4 linked regions of the Saccharomyces cerevisiae S288C genome follow. Changing the gene in region 1 together with any one later gene gives a genetic interaction. Each region holds a gene or a part of one and is shown on either strand. Other genes may lie near its edges. The genes, in order: PET494, REG2, ACF2 and PRM15.

Region 1 (5,818 bases):
TTCGGCAATGGACGTCTGTAGCAGTAAAGTATGCAAGTCATTAAGGATGGCCATGTCGTCATCGGTGAGCTCCTGGATCGAAGATGGGAAGGATGGTTTGGTAGGAGGTAAGGCGTTGTTTCCCAATTCGGCAGCAACCGTGAGCACTGCAGGCCAGTCTACGCGGTCGACTATGTTCAGAAGGAATTCTGGATTGAACTCGATAGATTCATCCTGTACCAATTGGCATTTGCTGCCGTCGTACTGTAGGGGGAAGTTGTCGTTGCTGGTGTCACAGGCTTTAACGGAGCACTTTAGGAAGTTGGTGGTTAAGAACTTCATGTTGACTAGGCTAGTAATATGATGTGTAGAGCCGAAGAGATCATAGGATGCTACAGTAGCTTCATTGCTGGTGAAGTAGTTTTGCTTTTAAAGCTCATCGATGAAAATTTTACCCAAAAAGATACAGTTTCGTATGAGATGATGAGTGTGATTTGGGAGGTACATATTTACATGTTTTATTAAGAAGAGTCCGCCTGGATATCAGAAATGCGTTTCAGCAGCGCAACCACGTCCCTATTTTTGCTTAGAATTTGATAACAGGTTCTCTTCTCTGCCTGCGAAATGGTACCAAGTATTTGAGAGCGGTCTTCATCTCTCGGCAGTAGGATTCTGACGGTTGGCCCTGCGTGTTTCTTCTTGTTGCGTTGTAGGAAACAATTTAGTTTGAGGATGCTGATTAGTTTGAATATATTGTCATTATAGTCGTATTTGCAGCCTGTTTCTTGCAAGTTGATATATCCCTTGAGTAGTCGTGTGTATGTTTCCAGAGATATGCTCGGTACTGGCTTGTTGACAGATGGAGAATTTACATTAGGGAAAAAAAGTTGAGTACGTTCGTTGTAGGGATTCATTACAATTGAAGAGTATTTCTGGAATATCCTGTTATCCTGCATGGAGTCATTAATTAATATATCGTAAAAATCTTCTTCGGTTCTGTTGTCGTAGATATTATGGGGGAAAAGGAAGGAATGGTCGTACAGCCAAAGACCCAACAGTTTTTTTACCTCGTTAGATCGCACCTTTCCATAGAATTGCTTAAACTCACCCAAGGTCTTCAAACTGTTGTCGTGAAGTTCTGTGCAGATGAATTTCAATATCGTTGGGTATTTAGACCAGTTCGGCAGTTGAAAATTCTGCACTTTCTCAGGTGATGTCACTATCTTATCGAAATTTTTATTCCACAGGTCGTAGAACACGTCTATCCTTCGATGAGTACCTTGTACCTCTTTTCCCTTAGTCAAAAGCTCGACTTCACGCCGCCATTCCTCGCTGTTGTTATTTTGAGTCATGGTCGTGGGTTGAATAACATCTCGATACAGCATATAAGCATATAGCATGTGGAATATAGATGCCTTCGCACGCTGCGAGTCATAATCAGTGACATTTTCCCTCTTATTCAAAATCAAATCTCCTAAAGTATACTGTTTTATAGGGGTGTCTAACTTTGCGTTCTGCTCCTCGACTAAGGGATCTTCCCGGACATGTGCTACATCAGGTTGCTCCCATTTAATATCATCTTCTTCACCCCTCAATTCAATATCTCGTGGCAAGCTGAGGGCCGTAGTCTCGAGCTCTTCTCTCTGTTTCGCCAGGCTCACCTGTGCCGCCATCATCTGCTCTTCGAATGCTCTTTCACTGCTGATAGTAACCAGCGTATTATACGTAACAATGCCCATAAATGCGACAATATTAGTTGTGACAAACATCAAATTACCAGGCGCATTGAAGTATCTCCACAGTGTACGCAGATATGGGAATGTATCACCATTACAGCTCAGGAGAAGTCCGTTTGTCCTTGTGAAGTTTGTCACTGGTTTCTTCCTACTTCGAGAAAAATGCATATTCGTCTTAGAGTTTACGGAATAAAAACGCTTCCATAAAAGTCGCCATACTGTGCTAATACTCCTCTTCCCCTTTTTCAAATGCATCGTGTGTTTCCACGCCTGCTCGGGTGCCTTTGCTGTCTCCAAGCTACTGTTGTTATCCGTTTGTTTTATACTTTCCTTATTTTGTAATTTACTATTGGATGTATCTCCCCGCGTGAAGTCACTAGAACGGTTTAAAATAAAACTTTAATAAATTTATAAGCGTCAGCAAATACATATCAATAGAGAGCGTTTTCATTACATTGTTGTATTTTTATTCGATTGATTGTATATGTTTATATAAATGAATTAAATTGTTCTGATATTAACTGAAAATTACATTGCAAGCAACTGCCATGATGGCGAAGACCAACTTTCCTAATGGCAAACGCGTTTGCGATCCACTGCCCATATATTGGCTAATTGTTACCATTGATGAAGTTTGGTATTGTATGGAGATTGAAGTAGTGGAAACTTCTGTAGTGGTAACAGATGTTTGTAGAGAAGAGGGAGCAGATGATGATGAGAGGAAAATAGAAGATACCGTCGGAGTCAATGATGAAGATTCAATAGTCGATTCCACAGAGGTAGATGGTGTAGAGATAGATGTTGCGGAAAGTGATGATGTAGAGGCAGATATTGTAGCAATAGCTGTGGAAGAAGTGGGTTGTAAAATCTCTGATGTTGAAGAAATTTGAAGTGTGGTAACTGGTGACTGTTCGACACTTAGTGATGATACAGAACTGAATAGCAAAATAGTACTGTCAGAGGATAATGTAGCAGACAAGGAGGAGGATGAAAGGACCGATGTCGATAATAAGTGTGATGATTGTTCTTGAGATTCTGAGTCAATGCTTGATGTACTCGTGGCTTCACTTACACTAGTCGAAATGGTTGAGGTACCTGAAGATGTTACATGATACTTACCGGTAGCGTGCTTATTGAAATCTTCATCCGAAGTTGTCATTGAACTTACCCAACTCTTTGTGGATGTGGTCTGCTGTGTTACAGAACTTGATGAAGCTGTTTGCACGGAAGAATACGAGTGTGACGTTTCAGCACATGTGGAGCATGCATATGAGGATTCAACCGTTGAGGTGCTTACAGAAGTTGCGACGTTTTTAGTGGACATTTTTATAGAAGATGTAATCAAACTTGTTGTCTGCGAGGGCATGCAAGACTCGTGAGTGCAGACTGTAGCGTCTGTTGTAACCGTTTCATGCATACTGGTTAATGTGCTAGTCTCAGATTCAGAGCTATAAGGACACCATGTCGTATACATTGTAGTGACTCCACTAACAGTGGTGAAATATGTAGACATGGAAAATGATGGGATAGTAGTAGAAATTGAGGATTTGGTGATATATTCAGACGAACTTTGTGAACTAACAGTTGTTTCAACAGTTGAAGAAGTCATAGAAGGAGTTGCAACATTTGACGAAGTCGAAGGGACGGAGTAAACAGGTGTGGATGGGCTGTATAATGACACAGACGTTGATGAAGATGCTATAGAGGAGCCAAGGGATGAAGTTGAATCAGTAAAAGTAGAGCTAATAGATGTTGAACTTGGAGAAGTGGAAGCCAAAGTTGGAGATGAAGAAGTCAAACTTGGGGATGTAGATGTTGAATATGAAGAAGTGGAAGTGGAGCTTGCAGAAGTAGATTTAGAACTTGGAGATGTAGATGTTGAACTTGATGAGGTAGATGTAGAGCTTGGAGATGTAGATGTCGAACTTGATGAGGTAGATGTAGAACTTTGGGATGTAGATGTAGAACTTGAAGATGTGGATGTCAAACTTGAAGATGTGGATGTCGAACTTGGAGATGTAGATGTCGAACTTGATGAGGTAGATGTCGAACTTGATGAGGTAGATGTCGAACTTGATGAGGTAGATGTAGAGCTTGGAGATGTAGATGTAGAGCTTGGAGATGTAGATGTCGAACTTAGGGAGGTAGTAGTTGGATTGGACGATGTTGTACTCGAAAGTGTAGAGGTGACAGGTGAGATTATAGAGGCACTTGATGGTTCAATGGCGCTGGATGATACCACGGTTGTAGTTCCTACTTCGGATAATGAGCTGATAGCGGTTGTGTGACAAGTAGGGCAAATATATGAAGTGAACTTGGAAGTCACAGATAAGGTGGTGGTTGGCAACGTCGATGACGAAGGACATGCCTCATGGGAGCAGACTTCTGTAGATAATGTCAAAGTACTAAATCTGGATAGGGTAGTAGCGTACGATATTGAAGGACTTATTTCGGCAGCAGATGAAGTGGATACCGTCAATGGACACCAAGTCGTATACAATGTCGTAGTGCCAGCTTGAACGATAGTGGATGTGGAGACTAGCGCGGGTGAAACTGTAGTTGTAACAACCCCATTTGCATCGTTTGTCTTGGTTATCGTCACTAGAATCGTTTCTGGATCAGATGCCAAGGCAATATTAGTTAATCCCAACAATATTGTGAACAGGTAGGTAAAATGAGCGAAAGATAATGTCATCTGAAATTTTTTGGTTTTTTTAGCTTTTATTGTTAATGCTCGCCGTTTTTCAAAGATGAACGTAAATACTGGAAAAGTTCACGATAATTATTGATGATAGATCATTATTCTGCGCTTATATACGTTTTAATTGCTTGCTGGGAACTGCTTATTTGCGATAGTCGCTTGTTTTAAGTCATTACTATGTTTTAATATTGTTTCAGAAAATTATGTTACAGCCGCGTTTTGACTTGAAACGTGCAATATCCAAAAAGAGACTTTACAATTGAAAGCTAACCTAAAATTTGAGAAGATATGTGACAGGTACCCTAAATGTAGATTGGGTGGCTGCTGAGATCTTTAAGTATGAAACGGGTGGACGTACTTGTGCTAAGTGGTGCTGTTAGACAGCTACGAATAAGGAAATTCCGAAGCATGTAGGGAGGTCATGATATGAAAAAGCAAAAGAGTAGGCATCAAAAAGTTTCTCATTCAAGTGGTAACTGCTGTTAAAATTAAGATATTTATAAATTGAAGCTTGGTCGTTCCGACCAATACCGTAGGGAAACGTAAATTAGCTATTGTAAAAAAAGGAAAAGAAAAGAAAAGAAAAATGTTACATATCGAATTGATCTTATTCCTTTGGTAGACCAGTCTTTGCGTCAATCAAAGATTCGTTTGTTTCTTGTGGGCCTGAACCGACTTGAGTTAAAATCACTCTGGCAACATCCTTTTGCAACTCAAGATCCAATTCACGTGCAGTAAAGTTAGATGATTCAAATTGATGGTTGAAAGCCTCAAGCTGCTCAGTAGTAAATTTCTTGTCCCATCCAGGAACAGAGCCAAACAATTTATAGATAAATGCAAAGAGTTTCGACTCATTTTCAGCTAAGTAGTACAACACAGCATTTGGACCTGCATCAAACGTGTATGCAACGATTGTTTCTCCGTAAAACTGATTAATGGTGTGGCACCAACTGATGATACGCTTGGAAGTGTCATTCATGTAGAATATTGGAGGGAAAGAGTCCAAACATGTGGCATGGAAAGAGTTGGAATCCATCATTGTTTCCTTTGCAAAGGTGGCGAAATCTTTTTCAACAATGGCTTTACGCATGACTTCAAATCTCTTTGGTACGACATGTTCAATTCTTTCTTTAAATAGTTCGGAGGTTGCCACGGTCAATTGCATACCCTGAGTGGAACTCACATCCTTTTTAATATCGCTGACAACTAGGACACAAGCTTTCATCTGAGGCCAGTCAGAGCTGTCTGCGATTTGTACTGCCATGGAATCATGACCATCTTCAGCTTTTCCCATTTCCCAGGCCACGTATCCGCCAAACAACGATCTACAAGCTGAACCAGACCCCTTTCTTGCTATTCTAGATATTTCTGAAGTTGACTGTGGTAATTGGTATAACTTAGC
Region 2 (7,581 bases), on another chromosome or scaffold:
CTTACATGTAAACCGAATAAGTTCGGTTCTTTATATATCTTTTCGGTAAGCTTCCAGTAATTGAAAGGATCATGAATAAGCAACAACCCGATGAGGAATCATCCCGATCTAACATTGAAATTTTCTAGGGGTTTTACTAACTAATCTGATTGGAAAGCACAATTATCCAGTGAACTACTAAGATGACGAAATTATTCGTTTACACAGAAATAGTGAAAGGCATTTTTGCTTTTACAAGAGGCTATTTTTTTTTTTCTTCATGCTTCTTAAAGGGATTCATGCATTGGACCGGAGAAAAGTCCGCAGAACGACCACTCGAGGGTAAGAAAAAAACAGCTCAGATTTCCTATTTGAGGCAAATTATGCGGAAATTGAAGAATCGAAAATCACGGAAGTGGTACCAAAATCGGTAGGTTGTTTTCAATTTACCCTTTTTTTCCATTCCCTCATTTAGAACCCATAGCGAGGTCGAAATATCCCTTAGCCATTGGTGTGATGTCTATAGTTATTTCCCTCAGTCAACCCAAAGCAAGATTTACATTGTGTTAACGTATGCCGTGATATGAACAAACACACCGGCCTACATAGCTAAGTTAATCAAAGAAGGTGTAGATAAACTAGGTTACATAACTGCCTATTGGCAAGCTTTCTTGCTATCTTAACAGCAAAGCTCTTAAGTCGTGATCTTCTCTTCTGATTCTCTTCCGATGGCATATAGATTTGAAGACGACAAGGAAAGCTAAGCAACTTCCTAGTTTTCGTCTAAAAAAACCGAAGGTTTTTCCGGTGATTTTCGGAAACATGCAGAAGAGTCCTTAGAAATCTTAGGTAAATTCACTCGGCATGTCTGCTAAAGATCGGTCTAGGCCATGCGCGTAAAACGGGAAAGGGTTCGCTCAATGGCAGATGCTGCCATACGAGGACACAACCAAGATGAGGCCTCCCAAAGCGGTACTCGCGTTAAGAAAGAAGGGCTTTGGAGGCAACCGGGTAGGGTGTCTTCTTTGTAAAGTTTGTCTAATGTTGGAGAATGGTTGCCACCCGGGGAAGAAAACTGCTCAGGGCGGATAACAGGAAAATAACATGTTGCGTGCACTTGTTTCCGTTGAAGGGAGATGGAAAGACTACTTAAAACAAAGTAAAGAAAAACATCTCAAAAATATTGAGAGAAAATGTGGTCCAGGAACCAAAGATGGTATACTATTTTGCTTTAGTTTATTTTTGCCTTCTTGTTTAATTATTACTCAATTGGTATATGTAATTGAGTAAATATACAAATTGTAGCTTGTGTTTTTGTTTTTCACAAATGACATCGGTATGTATTTTTCAACATATCTTCGCCATTTCTGTGAGCTATTCCGAACACCGCTTGAAACGATTTGTATTTTGCACAATCGTCATCGAAGTTCAAAAGTCAATTGCTTTTCCTAATAGAGTTAAAAGTCGGTCTACGAAAGTAAAATGTATACTCAGTAAGAGCGGTCTTTGTCTACAGTTCTCCAAAGTGGTAGTTATATCGGGAATGGGTAAATGCATTACACAACAACAAGGAGTTCTAAAAGAGTAACTGTGAACGCCAAAGGAAAAGATATAAAAAAAGTATGTCCCTTTTTAATACCTTTTTCGTTAAGCCGCTACAGCTACCTCTTGACTAACTGAGAAGCTGAATGGATAAGGAACAAAATCGTACGTAAATTTTCTCATCCATTTTACTTGGTCAACAGATTCTATAATTGTAAAGCTGTAGCTTGCACTTGATTTTGTTCCTAGAAATGCATTCAAAATTATTTAATGGTCGCCAAGAACAGCTAGGTGAAAGTTTACCCGGTCGGGCTTTAAGGGGAAGCCAATGCTTATTCAAAGCATATGGACATATATGAAGATGTCCTGTAAGATTCTTAGATTAAGTTTATATGCATTGAGCAACTAGACACTTTTCGTAAAATGAGTAGTGTTGGCGATTTTGAAGAAATTATTTTGCATGATTTAAAACCTTATTATCACGTTCCCGGTGCCATACATAGTGAAGGAATAACCTTCGTTAAGGAAACCGGTACACTGTTGTGGGTTGATATTTTTAAAGGAGAGGTTCATAAAGTCGAAGACATAGAACAGCCTGAATCCAGTCATTCTTTTTTTTCCATTAGTAGAGCCAATTATGGCAAGAATGCGTCAATTGAGTACCCTCCCAATCCAGATGAATTAAAAGAATCCGTGGGCTGTATATTTCCAATACTTGATGGGGCTTCACAAAATGAAATCAAACAAGTATTATTTGGTAGTAAATTTGGCATAGGAAAATTGGATTTTAGCAAAAGTGAATGGGAATATGTCATTTTGTATTCCGAATGTCCTGAATTGAGTACAGACAGAGCATATAAGTTGAGATCTAATGATGGGAACGTTTCGCCAGATGGAAAATATATTTATGTGGGGCTAATGAGCGATTTTCCATTTGATTTGGAACCTATTGGGTGTTTGCTTCGTGTTGACCTATTAGCTCACAAGATAGAGCTTGTTTGGAATTGCTTGTTAATTCCTAACGCGATCCACTGGGATGAAAGTGATCAAAAGACGATGTACGTGACTGATTCTTTAAACTTCACTATTTGGAAATGTCCTGGTGGCGACTTGCTAAAACGTGACGAGTTAATTGACGTGAAGAACTCCAACAATCAATCTTTTGAGTCTCCTGAACCAGATGGAAGTGCAATTTGGTTTAGCAAAGACGGAAAACATTCTGGGTTTCTGTTTATCACTGTCTGGTCCACCAGTAAGGTTCAAATGTTCGATTTAACTAACGGAAAATTGCTGAAGGAGTTCATTTTGCCGGAGCAGACACCAAGAGTTTCATGTTGTTGTTTTGTTGGTAAAGATCTCTTCGTGACCACTGCCAATGCAGAAATCAACGATGCTGTAAGAACCAATACTGACAAGAATGGTGGCTGCATCTACAAAATTCCAAACGTGCTAGACGGAAATGTTCCTCTGGAATCTACAAAGCGACAACCTCTCCACTAGGTGTATATACATATGTTTATATATATGCAGCATACGTATCCAGCGCATGTAACTAGCGTCATATGACACCGCTTATGGGCAAATTGAAGCGAAGCTCCCAAACTTGTCCTTATACATCGAATAATAGCCGTTCCATTTTGGTTGCCTAGTTATAAGGAGGGAACACCTAAGGGGCGGACAATCAAAAATACATAAAAGAGCGGAAAAGAAAAGAAATAAAAAGAAACCACATTTTATATCACACTTTTCTCGAGAAACATCGAACATCAAGACCTCCAGCATACTACTCACTATTATAAGCACATACTACGCCACATAGATAATGCCGAAAGTCGCTATTTTGATTTATTCAGTGGACGATATAATTGCCACATTAGCAGAAAATGAAAAAAAAGGTATAGAGATAGCTGGTGGTGAGGCTGAGATTTTCCAAGTGCCAGACGTCAGCTATAAAACTGAATATGCGACAGAAGAGGGAAAAGAGGCAGCCAAAGTCGCCAAAACTAATGCAGATTTTTCCTATAAAATCCTAACAAGAGAAACGTTGGTTGAGTACGATTACTACTTATTCGGAATACCTACTAAGTTTGGAAACTTCCCCGCGGAGTGGAAAAGCTTTTGGGACTCGAATACTGGTGGGCTTTGGGCAAAGGGTTCTCTCCATGGCAAAATTGCCGGTTTGTTTGTTTCAGGCGCAATAAGCGGCAAGGGTGATACAGAAATGTGTATCATGAACGCAATGAGTACTCTGGTCCATCATGGTGTCATTTATGTCCCATTGGGGTATAAGAACGCATACAAGGAATTGACCGACGTTGAAGATGTGAACGGGTCTTGCGCCTGGGGCGCAGGATGTGTTTCTGGAATCGACGGTGGCAGACCTCCCAGTTTATCCGAGCTAAGAGTTCACCAACTTCAAGGGAAGGCCTTTTACGACCGTATCAAAGATTTGTAAAACCGTATATATCTTTACATAAGTACGATATGGTATAACTGTAACATTGAAGGACTGAAGGACTGAAGGACTGAAGGACTATAGTCAAGGGCCAATGGGGAAGGTCCCTTCCAGGCCATTTGCCCGATAGTTTGTCCTTCTCTTGCTTTTCCGACGGCCCGATTGCATGTGGCGGGGCAGCACTGGATAAAAAAACGTGGGGGGAGTGATTAAATTTATACGCTTATTGTGTCAACACGGAAACCTTATAGTTATCATTACTAACATCGCAACAAGCTGCTTTTTTACTCGTTTTTAGCCACACCATACCCCCTTTAATTAACTAATAATGCATAAAATAGTTATTGCTTCTTGAGTTGCAGCTTCTTCCTGGACGTACTGTTATATATGGCATGTCTTCGCATGTCCGTCAAATTTAGCGTTGTCTCGAAACTTAGGCTGTCGTTCTTGCTGTCTGTCTTCTGATAAAATAATATATTGGAATAAGAAAAAAAAAATAGGAACAAGAAAGTGTGTGAGAATGACTTTGAGTAATTGCGACTCTTTGGATAACTTATTCCAGGACCCTCCAGAGGAAGAAGAAAGTAGTAAATTCGTTGAGGCGGTCAGAACTTTGATGAATAGAAACGATATGGGATATCCTCCCGCCGCTGCAAATGGTACGTATTGCTTAAAAAAAATCAAGTCTTTGAATGCCAAACAGTGGAAAATAAACAAGAAAAGAATGTGCATGTTGCCAGCAGTAAAGAAGAAAAATTTCGACTTTCACGAGCAAAGAAGTTTAATCTTGAATTTAAATTTATGGAAATTCATCAAGTTTATCAATTGTAGTAGTAAAAACAATTACAATAAAAATAATAAGCATGTGAGAAGCTCGAACAACACTGTAAAAAATGAAAATGTTTTACCGTTACAAAAACACAAGAAAGTGGACAATGATCAAAGATTGGAGAACCTTTTTTGGAGAAGCTGGTTTAAGGCACGCAAAAGGAGAGATATAATGGGCAAGCCACGAGAGAGGCATATCAAATTTAACGATAACGTTGAACAGTGTATTATAACTGATGAGCATTTCATACAAAGGCTTCCTTCTACACGGTTGAATTCGACTGATGAACAGCGCCCTTGTTCAAAGTCTGAACTAGATCCCTGTATTGGCAACGCAGCAAGTAAGCGAAGTTTCTATGATTATAACAGCGTTTACGTCGCGAGTGACGCAATTATTACGACTGCCGCTGCCACTGCCATTATCAGTAGTAATAGTGGAGACTATCAGCGTGGGCACGATGTTCGCGATGTTCCAAGAAATGTTTTGTTACAGGCAGGAGAAACAGATTTCAGTAGTGTGCTTCGGGTTGACTCCGATCTCAAGTTATCCAACATAAGTCATCATTCCCCCGTAAAACCTTCGTCAACTTCAAGTCATTCGACCTTCATTTTCGAGTCGGAAACTGACACTGATACTGATACTGACGCTGAAACAGAAAATGACATTGACGCTTACATAGACACCAGTATACCCAACCTGCTCCTATAAATTTTACGTAAACTTTCAATACATTGAAATTGTGTCTCATTTTCTTCTAGAAGCTCCTCGGAAAAATTGATCACGTGATATATAGCAACAACTTTGTTACCCGTCTTTCAAATTGGGCCCATGCCGGGTGGCAAACCAAAGGCGGCCAAGGGACCTACCCTCACAAAGGACAACGACAAACAAATGGCAGCTTTCTTGACCACACAAGATAAAACAACAAAACTCAGGCTGTTATTACCCTGCTGTGGACCCAACCTAAAGTAAATAAATAAACATCATCACAAGCAAGGTTATCTACACACTATCGTTATTAGTTTGAACTCACGTGTTGCTGCTGAATTAGAATATTTATAGCTCAATCAATATGCCTTCAGGTCATAACGATAAAAACGCAAATCAAGAGTCTGTGGAAGAGGCTGTTTTGAAATATGTCGGTGTAGGTCTAGATCACCAGAACCATGACCCTCAATTGCATACGAAGGATCTGGAAAACAAACACTCGAAAAAGCAGAATATTGTGGAAAGTAGTAGTGATGTTGATGTTAATAACAATGATGACAGTAATAGAAACGAGGATAATAATGATGATTCTGAAAATATTAGCGCATTGAATGCGAACGAATCATCTTCGAATGTGGATCATGCCAACTCCAATGAACAACATAACGCAGTTATGGATTGGTATTTAAGGCAAACAGCGCATAATCAACAAGACGACGAAGATGACGAAAACAATAATAACACTGACAACGGCAATGACAGTAATAATCACTTTTCTCAATCTGACATAGTCGTGGATGACGACGACGACAAGAATAAGAAAGATGCGGGTGTTGGTGTGGACGATGATCATCAATCTATGGCGATGGCCGCCGTCGCTGCTGCTTACACTCTATCGAAAAATAACAATAATAATAACAGTATTGCGAACGATAGCAATTCGCGTAAAAGACAGCATGATAACGGAAATAATCATGAGAATTCACAGAAAAAGCGGAAAAACAATAATGATGACGATGACAGACAAATTGGAAACGTAGATCCGGAATTAACCACCTTGGGTGATGCAGATGACAACGATACTAATAATGATGTGATTGATCGTGATCAACTGGTCCATAAGGCCATTATCGACGCTGATTCGATTACCCAACATCCTGATTTCCAGCAATACTTGAATACTGCGGCTGATACTGACGATAACGAAAAATTAAAGCATATTAAAGATCATTTGATGCGTACACACGGTTTGAATCATCAGAACAAGAATCACAATGATGATACAGATGATTTATCAAATAGTACAAAGCAATACTCTGAACTGCAGAAAGACTCTATGCTGGATAGTTCCCTCAACAAATCTAGAAATTATATGGAAGTCTTGCCCAAAGTTATCTCTCAAGATACTCAACCACACCAACAAAAATCTCCCTCTCATGATAATGAAGCTGGCAGCGTGGACAATTCAGAAATATCTCAACTACTTCAATCAGCCGCCACAAAGGCATCATCTTTGGTATCTTTATCCTCATCCTCAGCAACGCCATCGACTTCAAGGTCTAACAATAGCAAAGCTTTTGATAAAGCCGAAGACGCCGCTTTAGAAAGATTTATTAACGAGTATGAGGCCATTGAACGTTTGACTAGACAACAAGTTTGTGAAAGGATATGGAGTTCCGACAGGCCAAAGGACAACTTTTGGAATAATATTTACAAAGTCTTACCCTATAGATCTAGCTCCTCTATCTACAAACACATGAGAAGAAAATATCACATTTTTGAACAACGTGGTAAATGGACCGCGGAGGAGGAACAAGAGCTAGCTAAATTATGTGCAGAAAAAGAAGGTCAATGGGCAGAAATAGGTAAAACTTTAGGCAGAATGCCAGAAGATTGTAGGGATCGTTGGAGAAACTACGTAAAATGTGGTACCAATAGAGCATCAAATAGATGGTCCGTTGAAGAAGAAGAGCTTCTGAAAAAGGTTATCAGCGATATGTTGGAAGAAGCCCAGCAACAACAGTCTCAATTGCATCCAAACTTATTGGAAGAAGAACAGCATTTACTG
Region 3 (8,586 bases), on another chromosome or scaffold:
TGGGAACCGAACACAAACTCCACAAGTCCGTAGCAGCTCTTCTCTTTTGTCTTTTATATATCATAAACATCGCTACATAGTAATAACACTAACGCACGCTAGAAATGATAGCTTCCAAAAGCTCCTTATTAGTTACTAAATCGCGCATACCCTCTCTATGCTTTCCTTTGATAAAGAGGTCCTATGTGTCAAAGACTCCGACACACTCTAACACGGCTGCTAATCTGATGGTTGAAACTCCGGCCGCCAATGCCAACGGCAATAGTGTGATGGCACCTCCTAACTCAATCAATTTTCTACAGACACTTCCCAAGAAGGAACTATTCCAACTGGGATTCATCGGTATTGCGACCTTGAACAGCTTCTTCCTGAACACGATCATTAAGTTGTTCCCTTACATCCCCATCCCAGTAATAAAATTCTTCGTCTCTTCTTTATACTGTGGCGGTGAGAACTTTAAAGAGGTCATCGAATGCGGCAAACGTCTGCAGAAGAGAGGTATATCGAACATGATGCTTTCATTAACTATTGAAAATTCCGAAGGTACAAAGAGTTTGTCCAGTACTCCAGTAGACCAAATTGTCAAGGAAACAATCAGCTCTGTCCACAACATCCTACTGCCCAATATTATTGGCCAGCTGGAATCTAAGCCAATCAATGACATTGCTCCAGGTTATATCGCTCTAAAACCCTCTGCTTTGGTCGATAACCCTCACGAGGTTCTGTACAATTTCAGTAATCCCGCCTACAAGGCTCAAAGGGATCAGCTGATCGAGAACTGCTCTAAGATTACAAAAGAGATTTTTGAACTAAATCAATCTTTGTTAAAGAAGTACCCTGAAAGAAAGGCCCCATTTATGGTTTCCACTATTGACGCTGAGAAGTATGATTTGCAGGAGAATGGTGTTTACGAATTACAGAGAATCTTATTTCAAAAATTCAATCCCACTTCATCTAAACTGATATCATGTGTCGGTACTTGGCAGTTGTACCTAAGGGACTCTGGTGACCATATTTTGCACGAATTGAAGCTGGCCCAAGAAAACGGCTATAAGCTTGGGCTGAAACTGGTTCGTGGTGCTTATATTCATTCTGAAAAAAACCGTAACCAAATTATCTTTGGCGATAAAACGGGCACTGACGAAAATTACGATCGTATCATCACTCAAGTTGTCAATGATTTAATCATCAATGGCGAGGATTCTTATTTTGGTCACTTGGTTGTCGCCTCTCATAATTACCAATCCCAAATGCTCGTTACTAATTTGCTAAAATCTACCCAAGACAACTCTTATGCCAAATCGAACATTGTGTTGGGGCAATTACTAGGTATGGCAGATAATGTTACCTATGACCTAATTACCAACCATGGCGCTAAAAACATAATCAAGTATGTCCCATGGGGCCCACCATTGGAAACTAAAGATTATCTTTTGAGAAGATTGCAAGAAAACGGGGATGCTGTGAGATCTGATAATGGCTGGCCATTAATCAAGGCCATAGCAAAGTCGATTCCAAAAAGAGTAGGCCTATGAGAGGACTATAATATATACTCCAATTTCAAAGACAAACCAAAAAACCAAAAAAAAAAAAAAGTATGCATACATAATTCTGATGTTCTAGTTATACATATTATATATAAGTAATGATAATAACACTAATAGTAAAGTAAACGCACGGATATCAAGAGTTAATATACTTGAACCACTTAAATAACAATCTGTTGGTAAAGCTTTCTTCCTATTGATTATGGGTTCGAATAGTACCAGATGTTTTGCCAATCCTAAATCGGTAGGAAAGTGGCTTGTCGTCGTCAGGCTTATTATCAACTCTTATGCACAAGAAAGGTACTCATCTTCTATAAACTACATAAGACCTGAATCTAATCAAAGGGAGAAAGCGCAGAACATCAGATTTAAAGCGGTTTTGCTTGATACACTCAGCCTTGTCTCTTTGTAAGGATTTTGGGGTACCTATGAATAATACATCTAGTAGTGTTAGTAAACCAACGTATGGGATTTTGGGATACATAGTTTTCCAGTGTTTCTTATCCGTGATAGTTTAATGGTCAGAATGGGCGCTTGTCGCGTGCCAGATCGGGGTTCAATTCCCCGTCGCGGAGAATTTTTTTAAGCTTCTATTAAAGAAGCTTTTTTTCACTTATATCTGATGGATGATGAATAGCTAGTTCAAACGGAAATCTTTGATAAAGCTATATCAAAATTCAAAGCCCAATAAGTCAGTATCATGAAGTTTATAGCATTAATATCAGGTGGGAAGGACTCGTTCTACAATATTTTTCACTGCCTGAAGAACAACCATGAATTGATTGCCCTGGGAAATATATACCCAAAAGAATCAGAAGAGCAAGAATTAGACTCTTTCATGTTCCAAACAGTAGGACATGACTTAATAGACTATTATTCTAAATGTATTGGTGTTCCACTATTTAGACGCTCAATATTACGGAACACTTCTAACAACGTCGAGTTGAATTATACTGCTACTCAGGATGATGAAATTGAAGAACTATTTGAACTTCTAAGAACTGTCAAAGATAAAATTCCAGATTTAGAAGCTGTTAGTGTAGGTGCCATCTTATCGTCTTACCAGAGGACCAGAGTGGAAAATGTTTGTTCCAGATTGGGTCTAGTAGTGCTAAGCTATTTATGGCAAAGGGATCAAGCCGAACTAATGGGTGAAATGTGCCTTATGTCCAAGGATGTTAACAATGTTGAAAACGATACTAATTCAGGAAATAAATTTGACGCCAGGATAATCAAGGTGGCAGCAATTGGATTGAACGAGAAACATTTAGGAATGTCCTTGCCTATGATGCAACCGGTGTTACAGAAACTTAACCAACTTTATCAAGTTCATATCTGTGGAGAGGGTGGGGAGTTTGAGACAATGGTCTTGGATGCCCCTTTTTTCCAACATGGATACTTGGAATTAATTGATATTGTCAAATGTAGCGATGGTGAAGTTCACAATGCAAGGTTAAAGGTAAAATTTCAACCGCGTAATTTGAGCAAAAGTTTTTTACTCAACCAATTAGATCAATTACCTGTACCTTCGATTTTTGGTAATAATTGGCAAGATTTAACCCAAAATTTGCCAAAGCAACAAGCTAAAACAGGAGAACAAAGATTTGAAAATCACATGTCGAATGCTCTACCACAAACGACAATCAATAAAACCAATGATAAGTTGTACATCTCTAACCTACAATCACGTAAAAGTGAGACGGTCGAGAAGCAAAGTGAAGATATTTTTACTGAGCTAGCCGACATTCTGCATTCCAACCAGATTCCACGGAATCATATTTTATCTGCGTCATTATTAATTAGAGATATGTCTAATTTCGGAAAAATCAACAAAATATACAATGAATTTTTAGATTTGTCAAAATACGGACCTTTGCCACCATCAAGAGCATGCGTAGGTTCGAAGTGCTTGCCAGAAGATTGTCACGTACAGTTATCAGTTGTTGTTGATGTAAAAAATACAGGCAAAGAAAAAATCAACAAGAATAAGGGCGGACTACATGTTCAAGGCCGTTCATATTGGGCTCCATGTAATATCGGACCATATTCCCAAAGTACTTGGTTAAACGATGATGCAAACCAAGTCAGTTTTATCAGTGGGCAAATCGGACTAGTACCGCAGTCAATGGAAATATTAGGAACACCTCTCACTGACCAAATAGTTTTGGCATTACAACATTTTGATACTTTGTGTGAAACAATAGGAGCTCAAGAAAAGTTACTCATGACATGCTATATTTCAGACGAATCGGTTCTCGACTCTGTCATCAAAACATGGGCGTTTTATTGTTCAAATATGAATCATAGATCAGATCTATGGATGGACAAATCTGATGATGTTGAAAAATGCCTAGTTCTTGTAAAGATTTCTGAATTACCTAGAGGCGCTGTTGCAGAATTTGGTGGTGTTACTTGTAAGAGATTAATAGTGGACGATAATGATTCCGACAAGAAAGAAAGGGAAGAGAATGATGATGTTTCAACCGTATTCCAGAAATTGAATTTGAATATTGAAGGTTTTCATAACACTACAGTTAGTGCGTTTGGATATAATAGAAACTTTATTACGGGATTTGTAGATAGTAGAGAGGAGTTAGAACTTATCTTGGAAAAAACCCCAAAATCAGCCCAGATTACCCTCTATTATAATCCCAAAGAAATCATCACTTTCCACCATCACATTGGATACTATCCGGTGGAGAAACTTTTTGATTACCGTGGTAAAGAACACCGCTTTGGGTTGCATATTCGTTCCTAACTCCAAATGTAGGCCTTATATTTTATAAACTTAATAGATATACGCTGTCCACGCTCCTGGCGGTGTAAATGATAGACAGATCCCAAATATGTTAGCAAATCATAGGAACAACACCATATTGTGAACACGTAAAATTTAGAATACGCCGCACAATTAAGGTGTGTTCTGTAATAATTTGATTATTGATGATGGTTTAGGAACCAATATTCATATAAAAAAATGATCATTCTATAAAATACCTTATCGTAACACTTGTACCATGCTACTAACACTGTATATATTTCTGACCCCTAAGAAAAAGCACCTGAATAAGCTAAAGACCAAGTTAAGCTTTGCCCATTGTCTAGGAAATTTCTGTTGAAATCAGGTTGGCTGAAAAAGTCGTACGAAAATTTTGGATCAAGCAGAGCCATATTTAACATGATTATTCCTTTCCAACCGTCATTCACTTGATCAATTATCGGCTGCATTTTTTCTTCCCACTCCTCTTTGACAAAATTTGGTGTTCTGACCCATGAAGATGCTGATGTTATAGGAATGGCGTGAATCATATGAATGTATTGAGGCTCCATGCCAAAATACGTGGCGTGATCAATTTTATTTTCGAATAAAATACCACTAACTTTATTACCAATAAATTCTTTCGGTTGGACAGTATTATTGCTTTCGTATAGGAAGTAGCTCTGGAAAACATTTCTCATGATGCCGAGTTGTAAGTTCGCTATGTCAGTTAACTTAGAATTTCCAGTTACCAACCCCCACAATTTTATCGCATAGCAAGAATTGACATCTTCTGAAGTAGATTCTTCATCTTTACCGTCACCACTTGGAAATAGTCCTTTGGCCCATGAATGGCCATTAAACCAATCAAATGACCTAAATTGAGGGAAGTACGGATCATCGTTGTCAACACCAGAGTAATCTCTAATTAAGCACTCAACCCAATCTCTATTATTTTCTAACCAGGAGTTGTTAGTAACTCCACTTAAATCAGAATCGACTAAAGAGATAATGGCAGCCGTTATGACATGATAAGAGTAATGAAAATGATGATCATTATAATAAGAGTTACCAAAGTCTTGGCTAGAAGAGCCTGATGAAATTATGCCTTTCCAACTAACGTCGTAATTTAAAGGTAAGACTTGCTGATTGCTGATGAATCTCTCCATTGCAATAGTCAGTTTAGATAATAATTCTTTTGTTAAATTTTCATCATGAAGGATGTAATGTGTCACATAAAGAATCCACGCATACTTTGCAAGTATCTTACCAGAGAAATACATAGAATCTATGTTTGATTCTTGTTGAGGGTCACTCAATTGAACTTCTTGAACAGCAGCTTCCCGAATTTTAGATAGCTTTTCTTGACTGTAATCTGCCTTCTTATTCAAAGATAACGCGACAGGTTCAAAGCCCAATTCTTGAGGTACTTGAACCTGCATATCAAAACTGTTTGTGAGATAACCAGTCATTAAGCCTTTAACTGTGGAATCCAGGCTTGAGGCAATTTCACGTTCCTGCATTTCTGGTGTGAATGCCGCTTTATGATGTGGTAAAGCATACATTAGAGTAGTTCCAGACTGCGAGTAGCCTGCAACCGTATAGTTAAATCTGTAATTTGTGAAATGTTCATCAACAGTTTGCCCTGATAGGTCACAGTATACTGGATAACAGCCCGCTGCCATGTCAATACTGGGGACGGAGTCTGCAGATAATTGACAGATAAGACCATTGATTTTATGAGATGATATTATTGTATTGCTGTCGAGTAATGAAATTTGAAAATCTTGTGGAAAAGAGTAATCAGGTGAGGTCAAATAAAGTATCCAATTCCTATTATTCTCAAGTTGTATATTATATTTACCATATCTTTCATTCACGCTTATGCGCTCTAAGCTCCTGAAACCAACGGCGCTTCTTAATTCAAAACCCAAATCGTGGTAAATAGCCGTGACAAAGCCCATCCCCTGAACCAGCGGGAATTCTATAAACTGGGAACTACTCAAAGACATTAGTAAGCACATGGACATATGTTTCATATCCCGGAATTCAAGCTTGATATCATTTGAAGAGACAAATTCCCTGGCCTTGAATACAAATGATTTTATATTTGTGGGATTGAAGTAGAATCTGGGAGGATTTGTAGTTGTATCAAAAACCCTTTGAGACGCTAAAGTATGATTGGCGGCCAAACCAAACAATTCTGGATCACGAGAAAACCAAATTGAATAAGGATGTGTCCATATAGGTTGTGTATTATCGTCTAATAACATGTTTGTGTAGAACTTGTTTGTCTCCAATGGATCAACAGATTGATCATCAATATTCGGCTTTGGTACCGGGTGTTGAACTTTGTTGAAGACGGAAGGAGGAGCTTTTAAGTTAGAAAGGACAGGTGATTGAAAAATATTGTCACTATTCACCTGGCTGTCAGCTAAAGGGTTAGAACTGCTTGGTGTGCGCAGTGATTCACCTGCCACCCTATTTTCTCGAGGTTTACTGGAGTTCTCAGAAGAACAAACTGGTGGCTGAACATTTGCGCGAGGTGGTAAGGGAGGAGGTCCTCTATTGGTAGTACCGCCAGGTCTATTAGGAACAGGTGGAGGAATGGCTTGCCTACTGTAACACATCTTTTTACTTCTCGTATTTATTTATTTTTGTTTTTATGATACTAGCACTTTTCAGAAATTCATGAATTTTATTTATGGTTCCAAGAAAAAAACTTCAAAGAAATGAGTACTAGAATGATATATCCACAAAAAAAAAAAGAGCAGAAACAAAATGGATGAGATGGATAATGTGATACGATCTCTGGAGCAAGAATATCGGTTAATATTGCTCTTGAACCATAGGAACAAAAATCAACATAGAGCGGCTAGCTGGTATGGATCGTTCAATGAGATGAAAAGAAATTGTGGACAAATAATAACGCTTTTTAGCTCGAGAAGATTACAAGCCAAACGCCTTAAAGATGTTGAATGGGTCAAGTTGCACAGGCTATTACAGAGAGCACTTTTTAGACAGTTAAAGAGATGGTACTGGCAGTTCAATGGCGTAATTGCGCTGGGACAATTTGTAACGTTGGGTTGTACACTAGTAACATTGCTGGCAAATGTGAGGGCACTGTATATGAGATTATGGGAGATTAATGAAACTGAGTTTATAAGATGTGGATGCTTAATAAAGAACTTACCGAGAACAAAAGCAAAATCGGTTGTGAACGATGTCGAAGAACTTGGAGAAATTATAGATGAAGATATTGGCAACAACGTTCAAGAAAACGAACTAGTGATAACGTCTATACCAAAGCCTCTGACAGAGAACTGTAAGAAGAAAAAGAAAAGGAAAAAGAAGAACAAATCAGCCATTGATGGCATATTCGGATAAATATACAAGTAAATAGACTTTTTAAAATAATAATATCAATGCTAATAAATCATTCATTAATGACCTTGTCTGCCCAAGTAGGCAAAACAAACGCACTAGAATGTATTTGAGGATTATAGTACTTCAGCTTCCCTTGTTCTTGCTCAGATATCTTTCTTTGCGGAATGTTCAACGGTATATTGGCGTTATTACTGCAAACAATTAAACCTAATTGGCCAGATGTATAGGTTGGAACCATGGTATAGCAATATTCTGTATTAGGAAATACCTTTTTGGCTGTATTTTTCAAATCATGTAAGTATTTTAAATTTAACCAAAAATTTTCAGAGCTTTGCATAATAACAACGCCATTAGGATTTAAAGCATCTTTCAATAGTTCGAAATACCTCTCTTGAAAAAACGCTTCAGCTGGACCTTCAGGATCAGAACTATCTGTAATAATGACGTCAAATTTCTTATGGACGTCGGAAGCACCTATATCTTGTAAGAACTTGAAGCCATCGCAAAGTTTCAAGTCCAACCTTTCGTCATCGAAAGCACCATTACTCAATGTGGGCAAGAACTTACGGGATAATTCGATCACTGATGAGTCAATTTCTACCATAGTGATATCTTCTACACAGCTGTGCTTGGCTACTTCCCTTAAGACACCTCCGTCCCCACCGCCAATGATAAGTACACGCTTGGGATTAGAATGCGCAAACATGGCAATGTGGGTGATCATCTCTTGATAGGCAAACTCATCAAATTCCGTACATTGGACAATACCATCGAGGACCAAAACAGTACCGTATACCTTGTTACGGAAGATTAAGATGTCCTGAAATTCACTGCGGGCTTCATAAAGTATTGAGTCCACGGTCATAGTAAAGGCCTGGCCCGGAAAACTTTTAT
Region 4 (8,232 bases), on another chromosome or scaffold:
TGTCTCTCCGCCAACCAAACAACTGCGTGAATCCATAGAATTCTTCGAAAGTCCCTACGAGGGGGACTTGATTAGTTGGAATGTAGACGTAGGAGATGAAGTAGCCACTGCTAACCAAGTGATTTGCGAAATAAAAAGGCCATGTAACCATGACATCGTGTATGGCGGGCTATGTACTCAATGCGGGAAAGAAGTTTCTGCAGATGCCTTCGATGGTGTACCACTAGACGTTGTCGGGGACGTGGATTTACAGATTAGCGAGACAGAAGCCATTAGAACAGGCAAGGCATTGAAGGAGCATTTGCGACGGGATAAGAAACTTATCTTAGTGGTGGATTTAGATCAAACCATCATCCATTGTGGCGTGGACCCTACGATTGCAGAGTGGAAGAACGACCCCAATAATCCGAATTTTGAAACATTAAGAGACGTCAAGAGCTTTACGTTGGATGAGGAGTTAGTACTCCCACTTATGTACATGAATGACGATGGTTCTATGCTGAGACCGCCTCCCGTAAGAAAATGTTGGTACTACGTGAAGGTAAGGCCCGGTTTAAAGGAATTTTTCGCTAAAGTGGCGCCTCTTTTTGAAATGCATATCTACACAATGGCTACAAGGGCTTATGCCTTGCAAATTGCCAAAATCGTGGACCCTACGGGCGAATTGTTTGGCGATAGAATTCTGTCGCGTGATGAAAATGGGTCTCTAACAACTAAATCATTAGCTAAACTTTTCCCCACTGACCAGTCAATGGTTGTAGTTATTGACGACAGAGGTGATGTTTGGAATTGGTGTCCAAACTTGATCAAAGTTGTTCCTTATAACTTCTTCGTTGGTGTAGGTGACATTAATTCTAATTTCTTGCCCAAACAATCTACAGGAATGCTACAACTAGGGAGGAAGACAAGACAGAAGAGCCAAGAATCTCAGGAACTGCTGACGGATATTATGGATAACGAAAAAAAACTACAAGAAAAGATAGATAAAGAAGTTAAACGCCAAGAAGAAAAATTGAACCATCAACTGGCGACTGCTGAGGAGCCTCCTGCGAACGAATCCAAAGAAGAGTTGACCAAGAAACTAGAATATTCAGCATCTTTAGAAGTCCAACAACAAAATCGACCCTTGGCCAAACTACAAAAACACCTGCATGATCAAAAACTACTAGTTGATGACGATGATGAACTATACTACTTAATGGGTACGCTATCAAACATTCACAAAACTTATTATGATATGCTCTCACAACAAAATGAGCCAGAACCAAATCTGATGGAAATCATACCAAGTTTGAAGCAAAAAGTCTTCCAAAATTGCTATTTTGTTTTTTCAGGATTAATACCCCTCGGGACCGATATTCAAAGGTCGGACATAGTGATATGGACGAGTACATTTGGTGCCACTTCCACTCCAGATATAGATTACCTGACGACACATTTAATCACCAAGAACCCTAGCACTTATAAAGCGCGTCTAGCGAAAAAGTTCAACCCACAGATTAAAATTGTTCACCCAGATTGGATATTTGAGTGTTTGGTAAATTGGAAAAAGGTGGATGAAAAACCCTACACGTTAATCGTGGACAGCCCCATCTCCGACGAGGAATTACAAAACTTTCAAACACAATTACAAAAAAGACAAGAATATCTGGAGGAGACCCAGGAACAACAGCATATGTTGACATCACAAGAAAATCTAAATTTATTCGCTGCTGGTACTTCATGGTTAAACAATGACGACGATGAAGATATTCCGGACACAGCTAGCGACGACGACGAAGATGACGACCACGACGACGAAAGTGATGACGAAAACAACTCGGAAGGCATTGACAGAAAGAGGAGCATCGAGGACAATCATGATGATACATCACAAAAGAAGACCAAGGCGGAACCTTCTCAAGATGGTCCTGTACAACATAAAGGAGAAGGGGATGACAACGAAGACAGCGATTCGCAGTTGGAGGAAGAGTTGATGGATATGCTGGATGATTAGCAGCTCAGATGCCGTATCTTTCCACACATTTTCCTCATTGGTCTTTGTACCTATAATTGTTCATATTATATATACGTTTGTAACAAATCGATAAATAGCAACAATATTTTTGCTTATTTTGATATCCTGAAATCCTTTTTTTTTTTTTTTTTTTTTTTTTTTTTTTTTTGATTTCATTTCGTTTTTTTTTTTTGAACATTATATATTGTATTGTTTTCTCCCTGTAGCGAGAACTAATTGATTCTTTCTCCTTTCCCCCTAAATACTCAACAGTACTCTCGAGCCATTAGCTGCTGCAATTTCAAAAAATGTTGCAAGGAATTTTAGAAACCGTACCATCTGACTTGAAAGATCCGATATCATTATGGTTTAAGCAAGACCGCAACCCAAAAACTATAGAAGAGGTCACCGCTCTCTGCAAAAAATCCGACTGGAATGAGTTACACAAAAGATTTGATTCTAGAATTCAGTTTGGCACTGCTGGTTTAAGATCGCAAATGCAAGCTGGCTTTAGCAGGATGAATACTTTAGTAGTCATACAAGCGTCTCAGGGATTGGCAACTTATGTAAGACAACAGTTTCCAGACAATTTGGTAGCTGTTGTGGGACACGATCATAGATTCCATTCTAAGGAGTTCGCTAGAGCTACTGCTGCTGCATTTCTTTTAAAAGGATTTAAGGTACATTATTTGAATCCTGACCACGAATTTGTTCATACCCCTTTAGTTCCCTTTGCAGTGGATAAGCTAAAGGCCTCCGTTGGCGTAATGATAACAGCAAGTCACAACCCAAAAATGGATAATGGATATAAAGTATACTATTCCAATGGATGCCAAATCATTCCACCTCACGATCATGCCATCTCTGATTCCATTGACGCAAATTTAGAACCATGGGCCAATGTGTGGGATTTCGACGATGTTCTAAATAAGGCTCTCAAACAAGGGAAATTGATGTATTCCAGAGAAGAAATGCTGAAGTTATATTTAGAGGAGGTTTCTAAAAATCTGGTAGAAATCAACCCATTAAAGCTTGAAGTAAAAGCCAAACCTTGGTTCGTTTACACTCCAATGCATGGGGTTGGATTTGACATTTTCAGCACCATCGTAAAAAAAACACTGTGCCTGGTAGAAGGTAAGGATTACCTATGTGTTCCTGAACAACAAAATCCAGATCCTTCTTTCCCAACTGTTGGATTTCCTAACCCTGAAGAAAAAGGTGCTTTAGACATTGGTATAAACTTGGCTGAAAAACATGACATTGACTTACTTGTTGCCAACGACCCTGACGCTGATAGATTCTCTGTTGCTGTTAAAGATATGCAGTCAGGCGAATGGCGACAACTAACAGGTAACGAAATCGGTTTTCTTTTTGCATTTTATGAATATCAGAAATATAAAAGTATGGACAAAGAATTTCAGCACGTTCATCCGTTGGCTATGTTAAATTCAACAGTGTCTTCACAAATGATAAAAAAAATGGCAGAAATAGAAGGGTTCCATTATGAGGATACATTAACAGGATTTAAGTGGATCGGAAATCGTGCCATACTCTTGGAAAAGAAAGGCTATTACGTTCCTTTTGGATTCGAGGAAGCAATAGGCTACATGTTTCCAGCAATGGAGCATGATAAGGATGGTATCAGTGCATCCATTGTCTTCTTGCAAGCCTACTGTAAGTGGAAAATAGACCACAATTTGGACCCGCTAAATGTCTTAGAAAATGGCTTCAAAAAATATGGCGTGTTCAAAGAGTACAATGGCTATTATGTCGTTCCAAATCCAACTGTTACAAAAGATATATTTGACTACATCAGGAATGTCTACACTCCTGAGGGCGCGTCATATCCTTCATCTATTGGTGAAGAAATCGAAGTACTTTACTATCGAGATTTAACCACTGGTTACCAATCGGATACCATAAATCATAAACCTACTCTACCCGTCGATCCTACATCACAAATGATAACAGTATCTGCTAGACCAAGTAACGGTAGTGAGAATGAGCATATCCGCTTCACTATTCGCGGGTCCGGAACAGAACCAAAACTTAAAGTATATATTGAAGCTTGCGCAAATGAAGAACAAAGAGCCTCTTTCTTGGCGAAATTGACTTGGAATGTGCTGAGACGTGAATGGTTTAGACCAGATGAAATGAATATAGTTACAAAATTTTGATACTATTTTAACCTATACATTAAGACCAAGCGACTTAAAGAATGCCATTATATTTGTTGTTTGTACCTACACTTATATCAATATACATTTAACTAGTTTATGCCTCCAAACTTCTATCTTCAGATTTTCTGTGTCGATTCCAAAGGTTTTCAAGCATGTAAGTCACACTAATCACAACACCAAGAGAAGCGAGCCCAACTCCCAGATATACAGCTGCTCGGTAACCTTTCAACAAATCATTGCCGCTTTTATTAATTTGGTGTTCAACAGTGCCTCCCATACCTAAACATAGAGACGCTGAATAATTAATAACGGTGTTTACTAATGATCCAGCCATACCTTGATACTGCATTGGAAGCCCGTCACTCAATATAATGGATGATGCCGGGAAGGACAGGTCCATACCAAAACATAAGATAGCCTGCATCGCAAAGTTCAACTTCCAATAGCTTTGTTCCACTGGCAATACACTAAACATTATGGAACCAGCGTCAAATGCCATTAGTGAAAAACATAGTAGTAGAGCTGGTCCTAATCTCTTGATAGAAAAGGCAACGAAGAATGCAGCCATGGATCCGAAAATTACGAAAACGAAATACGTACCTCCGGTCCAAACAGGACTGTAATGCCTCAAATTTAGTTGGAAGGAAACATAATAGAATGTCCAAATACCAAACGACCCCCATCCCAGGAATACCGCCAATAATATCATAATCATATGACGGTTCTTCGTCATTGCACGTGGTAGAAGAGGAACCTCTGCGTATTTACTTTCGTAAACAAAAAAAGCAACCAAGAATATCACAGATATTATCAAAAGAACAATGATATAAGGTTTGTCCCAGCCAACTATTGGTGCTTGATTCCAGACAAAGTTGAAAAGAATCAGCCCGATAATGGCAAGCGCGGACCCAGTCCAATCCATCGAAAGCCCATGAATATTTGTGGGAACGTTGTTTGGGATGGAGTACCATGCCATTAATAAACTTAGAAACGTTGCAATACCAAAGGCATAAAATACCCAAGGCCACTGATTGGGGTCTTCAGTGACAATTAACCCCCCGAATAATCCACCAAACATGCCGCCTGTTGGAGCACATGCGCCGATGAAACTAATAACAATGTTCTTCCTGAATGAACCGACCTTATAAACATGACCAACAAGCCCCATAATATTTGGTAAAATAAACGCAATTCCAACTCCTTGGAACGCACGGCTCGTAATGAAAAACGCGTCGCTATTAGAGTATTTGGAGAGACCAGAAATTATAGACCAAACGATTACGATGACATAACCAACGATCAACATTTTCTTCAATCCATAAATATCTCCTAACCTCCCACTAATAAGGATGAACGACCCAGCAGCCAAGGGAAAAGATGCCATCAACCATGCCTGATTGTTTGCTTCTGAATTAAAGGATTTCGAAAGAACGTTCATTATACAGAGAGCGTGTGTTTGGCCCGCTTGATTCAATAACTGTGCCAACATGCATGTCGCTATGAACATTAATTCTTTCCCAAAGGAACTGAAGTAAGTGGGGTCCTGCCATGGTGAGTCATTGGTCACTTGAGTTGATTTGGTTGAAGAAACAATTGTTGTCACCTCTTCATCTTCTGTGGAAACCACTACTTTATCTTTTGCTTTCACTGTAATTTTCTCATCTATCTCAGAGTCCGTGCCCTGCACGCTCGTTTTCTTTTTGAAGATTGAAAACATTTCCAATCAGATCTTTGAGTTGTATGTTTGGTGTGCTTAGATTGGTTTCCAGAACTAGCCATGGTTAAAAGATCTATTTCCATTGCCTTATATACCTATTTTTGTCCAAGCCAAATGTCTCTGAGTATTTCCTCGAAAAACTGATATGAAAGAAAATTTAGTTCGTAACCATGGCAATACTATAGCATAATCTTCGTCATGCCATTGTTATCTCATAAATAAAACTCCTATAACAAAGCAAAAAAAGTTTACGCGTTCTACGGACATTTGTGTAGGAAAAATAAAGATTTTACTTAATCAATATACGAGCCACGTTTTTGGCGTCGCATTGTCGGCGCTATTTATGCGCACCCCTGTTGCCTTCTCTTCCCTTCCGTGCAGCCTCCGCGCTGTCAGATGGTCCTCCGGTAACGTAACCATGGGAACTAGCAAAAAAATTTCCTAATCTGAAATGTAGTTCCATTAATAAATCTGAGGAACATGGGCGCTGCATCAAGATGTGTTTTGGCGTCGTCTTTGTTATCTTTTCTTTTTTCCAACAATAAATTTGGCTGTTCATAAGGTGAACGAAAGCTACGGCAATTGCCCTATTAAGAAATTATACGTAAGAATGTTATTTGTTTCATGAATATTTAGAGGATTCCGTTTTGAATATATTACACTATGAAATAAAGAATTATTTGGCGTTTTGCCATTGGAATAAATCAGATACATTATCTGTGTTGGAACTTCCGCCACCAGAACTTTTTGATCGATCTGTATTGTAACGATTTTTCTGAGGCCGTCTTGGACCACGGTGGGACGCCGAGGGCCCTGAAGAGGTCCTTCTCATTTGAAACAGTGTAGAAGGTGTATCCAACTGGTTGCCAGTTGCACTCTTTGAGTTCTCTTGAGAACTACTGTCACCTTTTGAATCATTGCCCGATGAAAGAGATCTTTGATTGCTGGTATTTCTCGTACTTACGGAGGATACCATCCCTTGACTTAAAATTGAGTCGGTAGGATTCAATACTTCTCTGGCATTCATGCGTGACCGATCCAAGTCATCGTTAAATGTCGTATCTAGGATGATGCTGTTTTTACTTCGATTTGACGTAGTAGACGTCGTGTTGGTATTTGAGATATCGGGCGTATCCACTAATAAAGGAGCCAACCCAAGTGATGCATCTACAATGTAATCATAGTCGACCCCAGAATAATTGACATTTGTCATGAAATTGTTAAAATTACCTAAATCGTTGAAATCACAGTTGTCCATTCCATGCTTTGTACTTCCAAGGATACTGCCTTGGCTGGTATTACTGCCAGTTGAAGGTGGTTTGAAGTTGGCACCTGCATTTGTAACGGCTTTTTTATTTGTTCCCGGATCCGCTGACGCGGAGTTCTGATCATTTTGGTATAAAAAGTTGTTAATACTAATATTCGAGAAAGAATTATCGTTGTTCAGCAATCTCATTAGCTTTGTTAGGCTGTAGTTACTCTTGTTGTTGAAAGAGAGATTATTCTTTTCCATATTCGTACTTTTTCCTTTCTGATGAAATTGGTTGTTTTTTGAATTCTCAGGGTTTTGCTTAATAACGGGTTCTAATTGTTCCGGTTTAGAGTCCATATTATCCTTCATTAGATCTAAATTACTTGGTAGACTGAATATCGCATCCATGTGCATAGGCTTATTCTCAATCGTGTTTTGACCTATATTGGAGTTACCGGTCTGTAAGAATGGTGCCATATTTAAAAAGCTTAAGTTCTCTATATTGGCATCCGTGGCATCTGTAGAAGCTCTGTTACACACATCCACGTTGCCATTATTAGTATTCGTACAATTCGGTCCTTCAGGATGGGTGAACAGCGCAGTAAGGTCTGTATTACTAAACGAAAATGGAAACAGATTGCTGGTGGACATGTTTTTTTTGGTATCATTCTGGAAATTATGTGCGTTCTCCCCCTTGGATATACCGCCATCTTTTGCATTTCGTTTTGCATCTTTTTCATACTTTAATCTCTTATTACCATTAGTTGTATTTGTCATTGGAGAGTGACCCGCTTCAGAATTATTGTTATTATTACTATCGTTTCCATAAAGATACTCGTGTTCTGGGTTTTCTCTTTTGACATTAGGTGTTCTTTGTCTATTTTCCAGGCTGTTCTTCGATTGAGAGCCAAATAATGGTTTTAAGGATGTGGTTGTGGCCGGTGGTAACCCCATCAATCTATTGTAGTAATTCAATTTCTTTTCCAAGAATTTATCCAGTCTTTCAACCTTAACATTAGGTGCTTTCAACAACAGGTTGATGCTCATGTCAAACAGTTTCAGCGTGTGCCAAGAGGCAATTCCAGGT

The links.
Region 2: mutations in PET494 (region 1) and REG2 together harm fitness more than expected from each alone (negative genetic interaction), as found in Saccharomyces cerevisiae (one large-scale study listed by BioGRID).
Region 3: mutations in PET494 (region 1) and ACF2 together harm fitness more than expected from each alone (negative genetic interaction), as found in Saccharomyces cerevisiae (one large-scale study listed by BioGRID).
Region 4: mutations in PET494 (region 1) and PRM15 together harm fitness more than expected from each alone (negative genetic interaction), as found in Saccharomyces cerevisiae (one large-scale study listed by BioGRID).

Annotation. Positions count from the first base shown.
Region 1 is NC_001146.8:702,291-708,108, reverse strand, and holds PET494 (Pet494p), read right to left. Parts: upstream 1,971-5,818; coding exon 501-1,970; downstream 1-500. Other genes in the region: RNA methylation protein TRM112, read right to left, coding at 1-321; AGA1 (Aga1p), read right to left, coding at 2,233-4,410; diphosphomevalonate decarboxylase MVD1, read right to left, coding at 5,024-5,818. UniProt on the Saccharomyces cerevisiae protein: Required for the expression of the mitochondrial gene for cytochrome c oxidase subunit III (COX3).
Region 2 is NC_001134.8:335,115-342,695, reverse strand, and holds REG2 (protein phosphatase regulator REG2), read left to right. Parts: upstream 1-4,496; coding exon 4,497-5,513; downstream 5,514-7,581. Other genes in the region: YBR053C (regucalcin), read left to right, coding at 1,945-3,021; RFS1 (flavodoxin-like fold family protein), read left to right, coding at 3,344-3,976; DNA-binding protein REB1, read left to right, coding at 5,878-7,581. UniProt on the Saccharomyces cerevisiae protein: Regulatory subunit, binds to type-1 protein phosphatase. Functions with HEX2/REG1 and SNF1 protein kinase to regulate growth. Might regulate SNF1 directly or indirectly.
Region 3 is NC_001144.5:425,082-433,667, forward strand, and holds ACF2 (endo-1,3(4)-beta-glucanase), read right to left. Parts: upstream 6,936-8,586; coding exon 4,596-6,935; downstream 1-4,595. Other genes in the region: PUT1 (proline dehydrogenase), read left to right, coding at 105-1,535; DPH6 (diphthine--ammonia ligase), read left to right, coding at 2,248-4,305; RMP1 (Rmp1p), read left to right, coding at 7,087-7,692; SPE4 (spermine synthase), read right to left, coding at 7,742-8,586. UniProt on the Saccharomyces cerevisiae protein: Cleaves internal linkages in 1,3-beta-glucan.
Region 4 is NC_001145.3:820,459-828,690, forward strand, and holds PRM15 (phosphoribomutase PRM15), read left to right. Parts: upstream 1-2,304; coding exon 2,305-4,173; downstream 4,174-8,232. Other genes in the region: FCP1 (protein serine/threonine phosphatase), read left to right, coding at 1-1,996; ATR2 (Atr2p), read right to left, coding at 4,271-5,893; DNA-binding transcription factor CAT8, read right to left, coding at 6,570-8,232. UniProt on the Saccharomyces cerevisiae protein: Major phosphoribomutase that converts ribose 1-phosphate to ribose 5-phosphate. Involved in ribose salvage via the pentose phosphate pathway.